2 linked regions of the Schizosaccharomyces pombe genome follow. Changing the gene in region 2 together with the main gene of any one other region gives a genetic interaction. Each region holds a gene or a part of one and is shown on either strand. Other genes may lie near its edges.

Region 1 (7,762 bases), on a different chromosome or scaffold from region 2:
AATTGATACATAAAACCACCACCATATGTATCATTCCTCATTGGCCATCCTAATGTATGGGCTACCTCACCTTTGCGAAAGTTCTCGTCAGGTACACGCCAAACCTCCTTTACACCCAAACCATAGGTTTGAGGTTCACAATTTCCTCGAAGATTAAAACGCTTAATAATAGATTTTGATAGGGAACCGTGAGCACCTTCAGCAAATAAGGTGACAGGTGCGTGAAAAGCCATGCCGCGTTCGAAATTATCTTTGGGCAAACCCTTACTATCGACACCAAAATCATTAGTGGCAACGCCAATAACAGAACCATCTTTGTTGTAGAGGACCTCTGAAGCAGCAAAAGAAGGATATATTTCAACTCCATATTCTTCGGCCTTTGCAGCTAGCCATCTGGTAAATTCTGCTAAACTCATAACATAATTTCCGTGGTTCTTCATGGCTGGAGGGACAGGAATAGGGAAATGCAATTTTGGGATCAGGAACTTCATTTTATCGTGAGTAACAGCAGTACAGTTTTCAGGTGGGTCATCACGCCAATTAGGAAGTAGTTCATCTAAGGCAGTAGGTTGAATTACAGCCCCAGATACGCTGTGGTTACCGGGCTCAGCAGCCTTTTCAAGTACCACGACACGAATGTCTCTGTTGGCTTTGGCAGCTTGTTGCTTGATACGAATGGCAGCACTAAGTCCCGCAGGGCCAGCACCAACAATACACACATCCACATCCTCGACCTCTCGCTCAATAGTATCTAGTTTACGCAAATTATCCGTCAATTCATTAAGTCGAACGGAACTTGAATGAAAATTACGAGCGCCCAGAACGGTGAAATCTTGACGTAAAGTTTGAGAAGAGATTTTTAAAAGAGTACTAGGAGAAGCGAGAGGGAGAACGTGCATCGATCTTCCTCCCCTTCTCCCGATTTTTCTCAATACCCCAGTAAGGTGTTTAGCCCCGACTGACCGAGCGAGTGCAGATCTCGATAAATAAGACATTAATTAGGCACTTTAGCACAATTGCTGAAAAAATTTAAAAGTAATCACTAATACGAACAGAACAAGAAGCTAATATCAAGTACTTTCTCAACAAATGAAAACAATTATCAAATAATACAAAAAAAGATATTACAAAACTAGAAACGAAGGAGCCTTAAGACGAGACAAAAAAAAAAACTATTCACAAACAGACACCCGTTAATACACTTGGAAATCCCGCACCGCTAAAACGAACAAGTGTAGACAGATACAAAACAACAGGAATGAAAGAGAAAGAAAAAAGTTGGATTCTCTCTAATCGGTCAAGCTAGTGGCTATTAATTTGACATGTGTAGTAAAGAAGGAAAAGGAAAAGAAGATGTAAATAAAATAAATAAAGGAACGCAGGACATTCGTCATTTAACCGAGGAAGCCGCTCCTTACCTTTAACAGCGCACCAATTGCATTTCCTGAATTAAACCGAAGGCTACGGATACAGCCAATGAATCGGATCTAAGTAATCTAAAATGTGCGGGAAAACCAATTATCACGGCCGCTATCAATAAAATTGAAGGTTCTGGTGAAAAATTTCGTTATTACATTTATGATATTCTGGTGAATTTGGCAGTAGTTCTATTTATGGCGTTAAATAATTTAACGATAATTAATTTCTCTGTTTTTGACGGCTTTAGAGATACTGTGTAAAATCAGTGTATGTGTCAGTAATACTGCATTACGCTACATATCATTATTCATTCATTCATTCAATTTGCACATCGTGTCATGATAATACGAACATGAGATAGATCTTGCTAACAATACAATAAAATATAAGCTATTAAGAATAATACACGATAAATAGATCCTCGTTCTTCAGTTCTTTCTCAGCGACAAATTACAACAGTACCTACATATAACAATATATATAGCAACTGTTACCTCTATTATTCAAAAGTATCATAGAATAAACAGCTCATAAGCGAAACTCACCGCAGTTCATTGTATCGTTAAAGCAAATAACAAAATCTGTAGCTTTTTCACTAAGTAGGTATGTAAATATAAAGGCACGCATGTGTTTTTGCAAAATCAGGGTCTTATGTCTTTTTATACCTCAATCAATAATCTTATCTGTTCAGGCTAGCGAGACTTCTTTTCAATCAGATCATTTTATAAGCATCTATTCATATCTCCTAACACTCATGTTTACAAGCTAGTTGATGCACACTGTATCTATAGCCAAACAAAAAATCTGGGTTTGCACTCTTCAAACATACCTTATCCACAAATGCATTTTCTGGTAATTATCGGTCGGCTTCTTTTTAAAAAGTAAAGCTCAGAATCCTACATCTGCGGATATCATATTTTTGAGCAGGCAAATTCATCATCGTGTTATATTTTTGGTTTATTCAACTTTATCCTCTAGTTACTGATAAAAATTAGCAATTTAGCTATATCTTGTCAAAGCTACATACCAAATCGTACCTTGATTTTAATTTACTAAAATCGGTTTTGAAATTGATGTAAAAATCATATGAAACTTTGAAATGCACGAAATCTTCAAAAACAATTAGTGTTATTCTTACGTCTTACAATAGCCAAAGGACAAAGGAGTCAAACATTGTTAATAAAATAAAATAAAATATATTCCAATCAACTAGATTCTATGTGTATTTCCTTTAAAACAGAAATCTTTAGATATCAAAATAAATGCGTATAAATACCTATGCAATGCAACGAAGCTTAGACCATGACGAGAAATGAATTTAAAAAAAAAAAGCATGTCGTTTCGCGTTAAGTCATCAAAAAAAAAATAAGGAATTACGGATTAGTAAGAGATAGTAACCACGCGAAAAAGAATGCAAGTGTAAACATCTAGAAAAGAGGGTAATCAGTGTCTATACCGTCTGAACAAAGTTCGACGGGAATAAACCACGTTTTGAATTTGGAACATTAATAATTTCACCATCCCACCATCCATCTTCTTGTGTGCGAAGAACCATTAATGTATCGCCCTTTTGGAAGCTAATTTCTTCAGGTATTTGAGCTTGATAATCATAAAGTGCGATAACTGAATTATAATTAGTAAAATTAAAAATTTTTAAAGTTTCTCTTTAATGAACTTACCATATCCTAAAATTGGCTCTCCTTCAGCCGTAAAAGTAGCTCGTGGATCGACATTCTTTGATTGAACGCTATTTCTATTAGTCGGCTCTGGTGACCGTGCGCGACTGGTGGATCTTTGGGAAACTTGCCTCATGGACCTTCCACTCATAGACCCATATCTGTGACCCATTTCTGAACTTGGTCTCGATCCACTATAACCACCATTGTTTCGGTTTGATGTGTTAGATGAAGTAGATTTCTGTGACTGTAAGACTGATGACGATCTACGATTAGGGCCTAACGGATTGGGAGAAACAGAACGTTGCATAGACAACTGAGGTTGAGATTTGTTGTACTCACCATACAACGACATAGATGAAGATGGCCTTTGTTGACCAGACACTGATTGCCCACGAGCCCTTGTAGAAGGTGCTGGCGAAACGACATCAGATTGGCGTACACTAAGAGAAGATGCAGACCTCTCAAAGCTTGGGCGCAAGGTGGAGCTTCTTCTCGATAACATTGGAGAAGGAGATCTACTCATATTGCTTCGACTATGACGAAGGGATTCTCTAGCTGAATTTTCGGTTCGTTGCTCTCCGAACACCTGCTTTGTTTGGGAAGCAAAACTATTACTCATGCGTTGCATTTGAGCAGAAGTGTGTGCGGCTGGAGGAGCTCCTAAGGTACTCTTTTTGGGAACGCCATCTATATCACTAGCTATAGAAGTATTTCGAGAGTGATAGCCCAAGCCATTTAATCTTGTAGAAGAAGACGTCTTACTAAGAGAAACAGGCGCTTCATCGTCAACTGATGTCGATTGGCGTCTTCTCATTGACGAACTTAATTCAGCCATTGCATTAGCGATGGGATCGGGTACATCTTTGTCTTCTTCTTTGGATGTGGATTCCACTGGTGCCTCTCCAACAGAAAGCATGTTGGGTCCAACGTTTAAAACAACGTTAGCTCTGGGGTCAATATCTTCTAACTCATCAGACTGGACAGACGCGCCTGTGGCATGTTGATTGCTAGCAAATCCTTCTTTAGTAGGTGAGGTACTTCGGCTACCCATATTAGAGAAACTAGAACCCATGAAGGGAGAAGTGGGTCTCCCCATACGCTCCATTATTGATTTTCGTTTGATAGATCCCAAACTAGTTTGAGACCCGTGTCCATGTCGAGAGAAAGACAACCTAGATGACCGACTTCCGGTAGCAGTAGGTTGAAGTTGACTACTCAAAATAATATCATCATTATCTTTCGTGATAGCATTCTCACTATTTTTACCTTCCTTAACTTCGGGTGATATATCTGTTGCAGCGGGTATAGCCTGTACCTCAGTCTCGGCATTATGAGAGGATCTAACATCCATTGAAGTCAAAGGACGAGCAGCTACTTCAAAAGTTGGTGATGTTACAGAAGGTCGACGCATTGAGCTCCCTGTAAGTACTGGTTTCTGGGATTCAGCTTCTTGTATAGAAGGAACGGGAATAGAAAGTTCAACCTCTGTAACTTGTTCAACTTGTTCATTAGACACTGGCTTAACTGGTGAATGCAATGGTGAAGTAGGTGGTGATGATACAACTTCCGATGAAACTGTTTCACTAGTTTTGGGGCGAAAAGCGCTACGTGTTGGCGAACTTGCCAAAGATGCAGAAGCTGAGGGACGCGAAGAGGAGTATGGATAAGAAGGAGCTTTAGAAATGAGCTGGTCGATGTCATAATTTAATCCGTTTTCTTTGAAATAGTCATTAAACTCGGGTAAAGGGGGAATTGTAGTTCCGGTACCTTCGTTTTGAATCATTTGAGTAATATCTTCATCAATGTTAGTGTTTTCGAGTGTGAGTCGAATCTTTTCACAAGATTCATCATCTTTTACACAAGCAGTAGATATTATATTTGCATAGGCCCACATGTTTGTTTTGAGAAACTCTAAACGATATTCCTCAATATGTTGAAAAGCATCACAGACCTCTGTCCAACGATCAATCCATTCCCGAGTAACTGTAAGAAGTAATTCGTTTGTTTCTCTGTATTCCGCATCCATTTTTTTTACTGCTAGCGCTGCTTGACGGATTTTTAAATTGTATTTGTCTAATTCACGACCAGTCATCTTTTTTGTCTGTCTCATGTAGCTATTCAGCTTGTTACAACTGTACTCGTAGGCATCCTTCTTCTCGGATAAGTCTATTTCGAGAGCCGTTTTTTTCTGATATAATTCCTCAATGGCATTGGCTGCAACAACTTTCTGTTGCTCCGTCTGATCAATGTACTCGCGAATTTTATTTCGCAATTCGGTATTTATCTGTTGTGAGACTTCTTCATGCGCTTTGGCCATACTCCCTGTTTCAGTTCTCATAGATAAAATATTATTTAAAGTTGATCCAACTTCTGGGATGTCTGCTGAGCTGGCAGCTAACTCTTGCAGTTTAGATGCGTACTCACGCTCAATAGAAGCACTAATTTAGTTAGTCAGACTTTAATCAATAATCATACCGAACCCTTCGGTTCATTACACAAGCTATCTTAAGAATCCACGATTATCTGTAAAACATCTTAAATGACAATGAAACGACCAAAAACATATTTCTTGAATCATCGTAGCGCTTAAGGTAGAGCTGCAACTTCCAAACGAGGCAACCATACTTACCGCTTTGCGTAAAATTCATCAATTGATTCTAATACGGAAAGAGAAGATTTTGTTCGGGACATAAGAGCATCCATACCCGCATCTTCAGATCCCTGCAACGATTTTGTTAACATAACTTTGCTTTACTAAATACAGCAAATTTACACATACCCAGAAATTATCGCGGAACTTAACAGAAGATTTGGTAACGTACGGAGCCGCTTCAGATTGAGAGACTCCATTAACCTCCATTTTGTTATTGAAAGAACAAAATGCAGCAAAATTTGTGATTTGTTGTTGGTAAATTCCTGGTAGTCGATTTCAGGAAAAGAGTAAACATGTTTGTTTACTGCGACTACTGCGGTGACAACCGTCCCTAGCAACCGTTGCCTATCTGAGTGCACAATAAGCAACTGCAAATTAACTCTATCCTTAAATTTTGTTAAAAAAGTTTACGAAAGATACAGTCTCGTTAAATTTAATGTTCGATCCTTTCTTAGACTGCCTGGCAGTGAGGAGGACCGACATATCTTTTGCAAAACACCACTGCACCTATTTTCATTCAAACTTGCTAGCAGATACTGCTGCATCTCATCTGTAAATATTCAAAGAATATATCAGCTGAAAATAGCATAGGAGTATAATAATAGCCTCACAAAGGCATGGTAATAGAAAAGCGTTAAAAATATGAAGAGCCAAGAACAACAAACGCCGGAGACACGAGAGAAATCTAGTTCAACTTCTGAATCTGGGCATCCTATATCACTAGATTCTAAGACCCCTCCACCAAACGATTCAAAAATTGAAAGTATTGTTAAAGCACAAATCCTTTTCTTATTGTCGACCTTACGGGAAGACCAATATGATACGAAACTTGAACAGATTCGTCAACTTATCAACAAAAATGCACCCAGAGTATACCACCATTTTCTTCGCCGTCTAATTCAAGGAAATTCATACCGTATTTTTGGTACCGGTAAATCTTCTGATGGACTAGCTACTTATAAATTACTACTAGATGAATTAAAATCTCTCACGAAGTCTTGGGTCATGGCGAAACGTTTTAGTGATGCTATTTCAGGTTCTGATTCTGAAGTATTTGAAGATTTCGATATAGAGGCATTTTTAGACCATTTCCAATTCTCCCCGTTAGAAAGGACTAACCTTTTAATTGGACTTACCACTTCTGTTAAACCTACTTTAGCAAAGAAAGCTTCTGCTTTGCTTAAAAACACATTCCAATCTCTTTTAAACCAACTATCCGATCCTACTCAGCAACAAAGTATTGATAAAAACGATTTGGATTTGCTCAGGGAAGGTTTGTTTACCACCGACTATGACAGAATACCCTTGATTAAAGTTCCAAAGTTTGATGCTATAATTGAGAAAAAGTTGGCGAATTCACGCCCTCTTACAGCTTTGTTTGGTCCGATGAAAGCTTCCAAAGCTACACTTAAGTCTATGAAAGAAGCAATTCTTAAAAAATATCCCCCGGGAACGGCTACTGAGACTGATGTTGCTTATCTTATAAATTCACTTGTAGCTATACATGATTATGGTGCTTGGGACACTGTTTTGATGGGTAAAGCTATCGTTTCCTCTTTTGAAAACCTAAATTGGGAAGCTATGCTTTCTATGTTCGATAATCCTAAATTTATGATAACGGGTACACCTAGTCTTGTACTGTTCTTCACAATCTTTACAAATGCTTACAAGTTAAGGCAAACTAATTTTACGTTGGACTTTCTCTGGGTTCTTTGGAGAAATCCTTTACCGCAACTTTCCATCATTTCTCATATTATCCTATCCCCAACATCGATGTTTGATATAAGAGAGTTCAATGTCAATCCTGTAGTTTCTGTTGATAGCTTAAAGGATTATAGCGAAGAGCTTGTTAATTATGCGAAAATATATGAAAAAAGTAATTTAAATTGCATTGAACTTGTCCAAATCCTTTTACGCCTGTTATCTGAGGTAGTCACCTACGAAACTTCACTGTTCTTGAATTTTTTGGATGAGAAAGTTTCTGCCGAGCTTTTGCTTTTGGGTACGCTGC
Region 2 (7,686 bases):
TGCTAGCATTGATAAGGACAAAGGATGGACTGGAATAGTTGATCCTATGACGGGAAAGCCGGTTAACTTGACTACGGAAGAGCTCGGTTTGCTAAAGCGACTTGCTCAATCCGAGATTCCTGACGAAAACTTTGATCCATATCCTGATTATGATGATTTTTTTACAAACACCGTACGGGAAACTCCTCTTTCAAGCGCTCCTGAGCCCAAACGTCGATTTGCTCCCTCTAAGCATGAACAAAAGCGTATTTTACAGCTTGCTTATGCTATCCGTAAAGGAAGAATTCTCACTTCTGAACAGCGTGCTGAACGTGAACGCGAAAGTCAAAGCAATTATGCAGATCATGATCTTTGGGCGGATGATGATCAAGCAACTGTTAACCAGAGAAAGTTGGACTATGCACCTGCACCTAAGCTTCCTCCTCCATCACACGAGGAAAGCTATAACCCTCCTGAAGAATACTTAAAACAGTCTTCGGACTTTCCTAAGAAATATAAATCCTTACGTGTTGTTCCTGCTTACTCAAACCTTATAAAGGAGAAGTTTGAACGTTGCTTGGATCTTTATTTAGCTCCCCGTGTTAGACGTACCAAACTTAATATTGATCCAGAATCGTTACTTCCTAAACTTCCTACCCCCTCTGAGCTTCGTCCATTTCCGACACGCTGCACCAATGTTTTCATCGGTCATAAAGGTCGTGTTCGTTGTCTTTCGGTCCATGTTAGCGGAAATTGGCTTGCAAGTGGAGGTGATGATGGAGTTTTACGTATTTGGGAAGTAATGACTGGTCGTTGTGTTTGGAAATGCAGCTTGGACAGTTTTGGTAATGCACATAATATTGATAGCGATGAGGATGCGGTTAATGAATCTTTAAGTCACTCTACAAAGAGCTCTATAATTCAATCACTTGCTTGGGGACCTCTTTCAGATAGTCCAGTGCTTGCTGTTGCTGTTGATGAAACAGTCTATTTCATCACACCCCCGATCTTTTCTGACGAGCAGATTGAAGCTTCTAAAGAATTGTTTACTTCTGCTCCTTACCAAGAATCTAGTGCAATATGGAGAAGAGGAGCCAAACAATCTTTACAATTACATGGTGGTATAGTCCATGCTACTGTTTCTACTCCCAGTAGCATTAAGTCCTTGTCTTGGCATCGTCGCGGTGATTACCTAGCTACTTCTTCTCCTACTTCTTCTAGCCAGGCGGTTCTTATTCATCAGTTGTCAAGAGGTGCAAGTCAATCGCCATTTTCTAAGTCTAAAGGTTCTGTGCAAGCTGTTACGTTTCACCCTACTATGCCTTATCTTCTGGTTGCTACTCAACGATATGTCCGCATATACAATCTTGTTAAGCAAGAGCTTGTAAAGACCTTGTTAACTGGTGTCAAATGGGTTTCGAGTTTAAGTGTCCATTCGAGTGGGGACCATGTCATAATAGGTTCCTATGATAAAAGGCTATGTTGGTTCGACTTAGACTTTTCTTCTAAACCATATAAAAATCTTCGATATCATTCACGTGCTCTTCGCGATGTCTCATATCATCCTTCCCTTCCACTATTTTGCTCTGGCTCTGATGATGGTGATGTTCAAGTGTTCCACGGTCGTGTTTACAGTGACCTTCTGGCTAATCCCTTGATTGTTCCTCTTAAGATTTTGCGGAATCATAAAGTGGTTGATAATGTCGGTGTTTTATCCACATGCTGGCATCCAAAAGAAGCCTGGTTATTCAGTGCAGGTGCTGGTGGAGAAATTCGGATGTGGACTTGAAAAAGGTTTGAAACGTCTTAAATATTTTTGTTTTCTTCACTTGCTTTAAAATTTAGAAAAACTCTACTTTTAAAAATAATGTTTGGTAGTGTTTACTGCAAAAGATACTTTTTCAATGCTGTATTATAGTTTTGCTAACAAGTCGAAAAGATTGTTTTCGTACTTGATTTTGGATATTTAATAGGAATATAGGGGTTTTCGAAAGTTTAAAATGCATTTGTGCAAACTGAATATGTTTTTATTTTTTATTTTTTGGTAAGTTATCTAAAGTATTTAAGTATTACGTGATATCAAAAATCGTAACCGTTGAAATTCAATAGTGCTTTTTATATATCTATAGTTACCTAATCATTAATTGCTTAATTATAAAAATACAGCAAGTTTAAATGCAAGTAAACATGCTGGACTTTGTGGATTAAATGAAATGATTTAAAATCTCCAAGATTTCCAAGACAGCTTTCCTTATAAAGCTAAAATCGATGAAAGAAGTGAAAAAATAACAAAAAAAAAAGAAAAAGAAAGTGATGAGTAAGTCTGAGTTAATCCAAATTAAACTTGACTGATATCGCCTTGCAAGGACGGCAAATAGGGGTATTTTCTATCATAAAATAACCCTCATCTCCAAGTAGGGCATTACAAGCTCCGCAGGTCCAACATTGGCTATGATATTCACCATCAGACCCTTTTACACTGATCCCCAAAATGGGTTTACGGCATTTCTTGCACTTAACAGCATACTTATTATCATAACAAGTCTGACACCAGTATAGGTCGTCACGGTAAATACAGGGTATATTTACATTAAAAACTTCAGAGCAACCAGCGCAAAAATGATGATTTTCATGAAACCAATCATTGTTGATATGGACCGCTTGGTCTTCAATTGGGGTTTTGCAGTGCTTACAGCGAGGACTGAACTGTTCATGATAGTCTAGATGACAATAAAATTTTCCCTCGCGGTAATAAAATCCAACGTGCTCTAAGTTCTGGGAACAAGTATCGCATTTGAAGCATTGAGGGTGTAATTTCTTTCCTGAAGCACTAATTATTCTGCCAGCGCGTAAAGAACCGCCGCAACTATGACAGGATTTTTCAGAATTGCCTCTATAAAGAACTGGTTTTGTAGATGTATGAGAAGATACCATTGAAGGCTTAAGTGAATCTGATTGAAATAAATTATTTGAGGACAAGTTGCTAGGCAATTGTGAAGTGGGGGTGGGCAAAGGATATAAGCTATTAGCAGGAGCAGAATGAAAAGAATGCAAAGCGGGTCTACGATTGGAAAGTTTACTGGATTTCTGTAAAGGAAGAGTAGGAAGTTGTTTGGATGCGAAGGTTTTTTGTCTGTCTTCAATGCAATCATGATCAACAAGCGGCTGTAAACCGGTATGACAATCGTAAACATTTCGTACGTCTGGATAATTAACATGTGAATTCAATTCCTCCGGCGAACTAGGAAACTCATCGTCGTCACTGTATGCAAGAGATGGCAATTCAGGTAAAAGCTCCTTTTTTAAGCTATCGAAAGTAGAAGTAGAAGCAGAGGTTAGTAGTGTTTTTTCCGGCGACGAAACATTAGAACGAGAGAGCTCGTCATCAGGCAGATCAAAACGTACACGATTTTGTTTTATTGTTGGATTCCTCTTGGACAAAGGAGATTCAGGAGTCTTCAAACTTGGTTGCGGTAATGGTGTAGCTATTCGACCTCCAGTAAAGTTAAGTGCTCCATCAGATAACCGAGAACGAACTAAATTGTTTAGCGGGGAGCCATTAGTAGAGACCGGCGAAGAAGGAGCAGCACGAGGACCAGTCAATCGACGTTCAAATCTACAAAAACGAAGTTAGATACCTAATTGGGTAATAACAATAAGACAATAGATTACCTTGGTAATTCTGGAATTGGTGAATGCATTTGCTGATATGCTTCTCAACTATCAGGACACTAATCAACGGAAAGAATTCAGGATCGTTGACAACCTTAAGAAATCAGGATAGCCAAGCTCGCAGGGTATAAATCTAGCCGCAACACTTAAAAACAAGATAAAAAATAGGAAGAGAAGGATAAGGAAGGAAAAACAAAAATCAAGCTGGGATTAACTTATAGAAAATTGTTGCCAACGTAAGGATATATATCTCAAAGAGCGGAGTCCCCCAAAAAAACTAGCTGTATTAAAAAAATGCAATTGTAAGCAAGTAGTTATTATTTAGAAAGCAGTAATATTTGCTTTATCCAAAGTGTTTTAGCTAATAAGTGTTGGCTTTGTTTAAGTGTATATTCCAAAATATAAACAAACATTCGTTGTTATAGAAACCAGCCTCATAATAGGTAACATTGTACCTTTAACGAATACTTAGAGAGTACGTATTCAATGTTTGTATACCAGCAGAAAGTAAAAAAATGCGAATATATTAGTAATTAAAGTGAATTAAGCCATTCCTATGCAGAAAATGTTCCAAACGAAATCAATGTTATTTGTTGGACAATTTTATATGTTGCGATTTCATAATATGGTACAATATCTTTTTATAATTTATTTTTTTTATACTTTGGCAGTAGATTATTGTGGAGCGCGTTATTAATGCTTACTGTATTGTTACAGCTCTTTAAATGTCATTAACTACCCCATTATGCTTTGTCAGGCATACAGCATTTCGCTTATTGTTTCATAAATAGAAACCTAATTTTGGCTTTCAAGCTACAGATTGACCTAAGAAAATTCTTTACCAGTTGTAAGTATAATTGTATAAGAAAAAATATGTAGACCCGTGAGTCTGTTCAGTGTGTAGTTACTTATAAGCGTTGCAATGTGTCGCAAAATGATATTGTATATAAAATTACGATCACACTGTACCACACAAACGTCGTTAAAGGAAAAAACACTTTTTTGACTGTAGATTTGTTAGAAGCAAAAGTGTTTGAGAATAGTTTATGTGCGGAATTCTTTTCGCCTTAGCGGAAGACAGAGATAATCTTCTTGAAAGTCCATCTTTTTCAGCTTTACGAAAAAGGATTCGGGCTAGAGGACCTGATTTTTTTGGTAAGCATAAATTGAATAGCGGACCTTGGAATTTGCACTTTGAGTCAAGCGTTTTGCATTTACGTGGCCCTTCTGATCATTTAACGCCTCAACCTCATGTTGACAGTTTTGGAAACGTTTTGTGTTGGAATGGAGAAATTTGGCAAATAAACCATAGCGATCATCACAAATTTACGCTCAATCGTAATGAAAACGACGGTGCAAAACTTTTTGAACTTTTAAACAATAACCCGGGCGACATTGAAAAAATTTTGGGAAGTATTCAAGGACCTTTTGCTTTTGTTTACTACCAAGTTCGTACAAACACATTGTGGTGGGGAAGAGATCGCTTAGGAAGAAGATCCCTTTTGTATAGTTTACGAGATAGTAATTTCGTTCTCTCAAGTGTAGGAAATTCTAGTGATTTCCGAGAAGTTGAGCCTGGGTTTCATAGTGTGCAGGTGGACTTGATCCCAAAAATTAACTTCTCTAAATCATTAATGCAACTGGAAAAAACAAACCCTCTTCCTCCTGTGGATGAGTCCTTTCTCATGGGCTCAATCTCTTCAGACACTGTGGACACATTGCATACATATCTTATCAAAGCGCTTCAAGATAGAGTTTTAACAATCCCCAAACTGTGCTCTTCAAACCTTGACTGTAGTCATTATAGCCGAGTTTGCGTTCTTTACTCTGGGGGAGTGGATTGCGGTGTATTAGCACGGCTAATGCACGACATAGTTCCCAATAACGAGTCCATCGATTTAATTAATGTGGCTTTTGAAAACCCAAGATTTACAGAGACATACCGTGACAGAGAGACGGGACTTCTTCCTGACAATTTTGATGCATACGACGTATGTCCTGATAGACAAACTGGATTACAAGGCTGGCAGGAGCTTATTTCAGTTTGCCCTGCTCGAAAATGGAATTTTGTTGCTATAAACGTTCCTTATACAGAAGTATGTGAAGCACAGGAAATAGTCAAAACACTTATCTATCCGAACGATTCAGTTATGGATCTTTCTATTGGATTAGCTTTTTATTTTGCTTCACAAGGGCGTGGTGTACTTTTACAAAACGTGGATGATATCAAACTGAAACATCAATTACCTTCCTATACTATAAAAGCTAAAGTCCTCATCAGTGGCCTGGGGGCTGATGAGCAGCTCGGTGGTTATATGCGGCACCTACGAGCGTTTGAACGGAAAGGTATGGCCGGTCTTGAAGAAGAACTGCAATTGGACATTGATCGTATTCCACATCGTAACTTGGGCAGAGATGACAGGGTAATGTCTAATCAAGGGAAAGAGGTGCGTTATCCTTTTCTCGATGAGCGTCTGATGGCTTTGTTTAGCAAAATGAAAACTACTGATAAAATGCGTCTAGATTTAGTTGGAGGTGACAAACTAATTTTACGTGAATTAGGACGTCGATTAGGTTGTCCCTTAGCTAGTCAAGAAAAAAAGAGGGCTATTCAGTTTGGTTCTAAAGCAGCAAAGATGACTCCTGGAACCGGTAGAACATCAGGTCGTAAAAAGTTAGAAGTTTGTATTTAAAAATAATAATAATAATAATAAATTATACTTGAGTATTTCATAAAACTACAAATGTTAACTCATCTCCAAAAGGGAATCAATAGATGAACTAAGCCTTCCTTGTTGCGCATTTAACACAACTTCAATCACTTCACTGTCAAACGCTGGAAACATAGCTCTTAAAGCCGTAATTGCTTCAGCCTTTTCCCGAGCTTGTAGCCTTTCAGCTTCAGCTGTCTCAAGAGACGCTGTTGTTGCCTCTCGCAGGTCATCATTTTGTTGTAATCCATCATCCACTGGCTGCTCTTCATGAACGATGGGAGAATGGGTAGCAGACGAGGAATATGCACGAGATACTCGATAGGGAGGTCGATCGCTAGAACCAACATACTTGTTTGAGTTTCTGCGTGATCTTTTTCCAGAATCAGTTGTGAAAGAGCCACTATGAGAAGAGCTCTCGGCCTTGTGCTACGAGGATATTCTTTGCTTTCAGGAGTGTCTATTTGCAAGTATTTCATATTTTCAAGCTCTTCTGGTAAATTTACCAATGCAACACCAGTCGATACATCTATGGATGATGAAAGTCCTCGAGAAAGAACCGGATCCTTGTAGGTTGCATTCTCGTTTACGGCCGTTTTTGATTCAGACTTTTCGCTCAACTTTCTCTCTTCCATCTTCTTGATCGACTTCTCTATTTGTGCATTAAACTCTTCTTCCGTTATAGTTAGAGAACTACAATCCAGTGTTTCGATGAAGGACATAGCTCCCATTAGAGTAGATAAATAGTACATAACTTCTCCCGTGAGTTTTTCGGGAGAACGAAACCTTTGTATGTATTGAATATTAGATACTAAGTGGGCCGGCCTTGCTTGAAGGACTACAAAAATCAAAATGGGAACAAACATATCCGCTGACTCCTCTTTAACAACGTTTCTTAGGTAGCTAAAAATAACCTTGCAACAGTTCAAAAGACAGATAATCTTGTCCCGGGGAGCGTGGTAATCATTTATTCTTCTTAATTCATCAGCAGCAAGCTTAAAGAATTTTGAGCTAGATTTTTGCTTTTTTATATCTAAGTTCTCCTCTGTAATCCATTGAAATAGTTCCATTTTCTCAGACAAAACTCGGTCTTCCTCAACATCATCCGAATGTTCACTGCTCAAAGGTATGCCAGACTTTGCAATTTCAGGAGAAAATAAACTTGTGTATAATCTGTTTAAAACTAACTTCTCCATCCCCTCTTTAGCATTATCAATTTCAGCCTGGGAACCAGAAGCCCATGGTTCATATTGTTCGATTTTTTCATTTATAAACTTTAAAAAGTCACGAATCAATTTGACCTGGTAATTAACAGTCCATCGTC

The links. A genetic interaction does not mean that the proteins touch.
Region 1: mutations in pxl1 (region 2) and cdc15 are lethal when combined (synthetic lethality), as found in Schizosaccharomyces pombe (4 studies listed by BioGRID, with this or other methods).

The regions. Positions count from the first base shown.
Region 1 is NC_003424.3:1,396,929-1,404,690, forward strand, and holds cdc15 (F-BAR domain protein Cdc15), read right to left. Parts: upstream 6,009-7,762; 5' UTR 5,959-6,008; coding exon 5,878-5,958; intron 5,820-5,877; coding exon 5,728-5,819; intron 5,552-5,727; exon of another isoform or gene 5,537-5,551; coding exon 3,099-5,536; exon of another isoform or gene 3,088-3,098; intron 3,043-3,087; coding exon 2,870-3,042; 3' UTR 2,272-2,869; downstream 1-2,271. Other genes in the region: cir2 (electron transfer flavoprotein-ubiquinone oxidoreductase), read right to left, coding at 1-995; CCR4-Not complex subunit Not1, read left to right, coding at 6,394-7,762. UniProt on the Schizosaccharomyces pombe protein: After the onset of mitosis, forms a ring-like structure which colocalizes with the medial actin ring. Appears to mediate cytoskeletal rearrangements required for cytokinesis. Essential for viability.
Region 2 is NC_003423.3:2,708,506-2,716,191, reverse strand, and holds pxl1 (paxillin-like protein Pxl1), read right to left. Parts: upstream 4,025-7,686; 5' UTR 3,681-4,024; coding exon 3,652-3,680; intron 3,596-3,651; coding exon 2,308-3,595; 3' UTR 1,985-2,307; downstream 1-1,984. Other genes in the region: erb1 (WD repeat/BOP1NT protein), read left to right, coding at 1-1,768; asn2 (asparagine synthase), read left to right, coding at 4,698-6,344.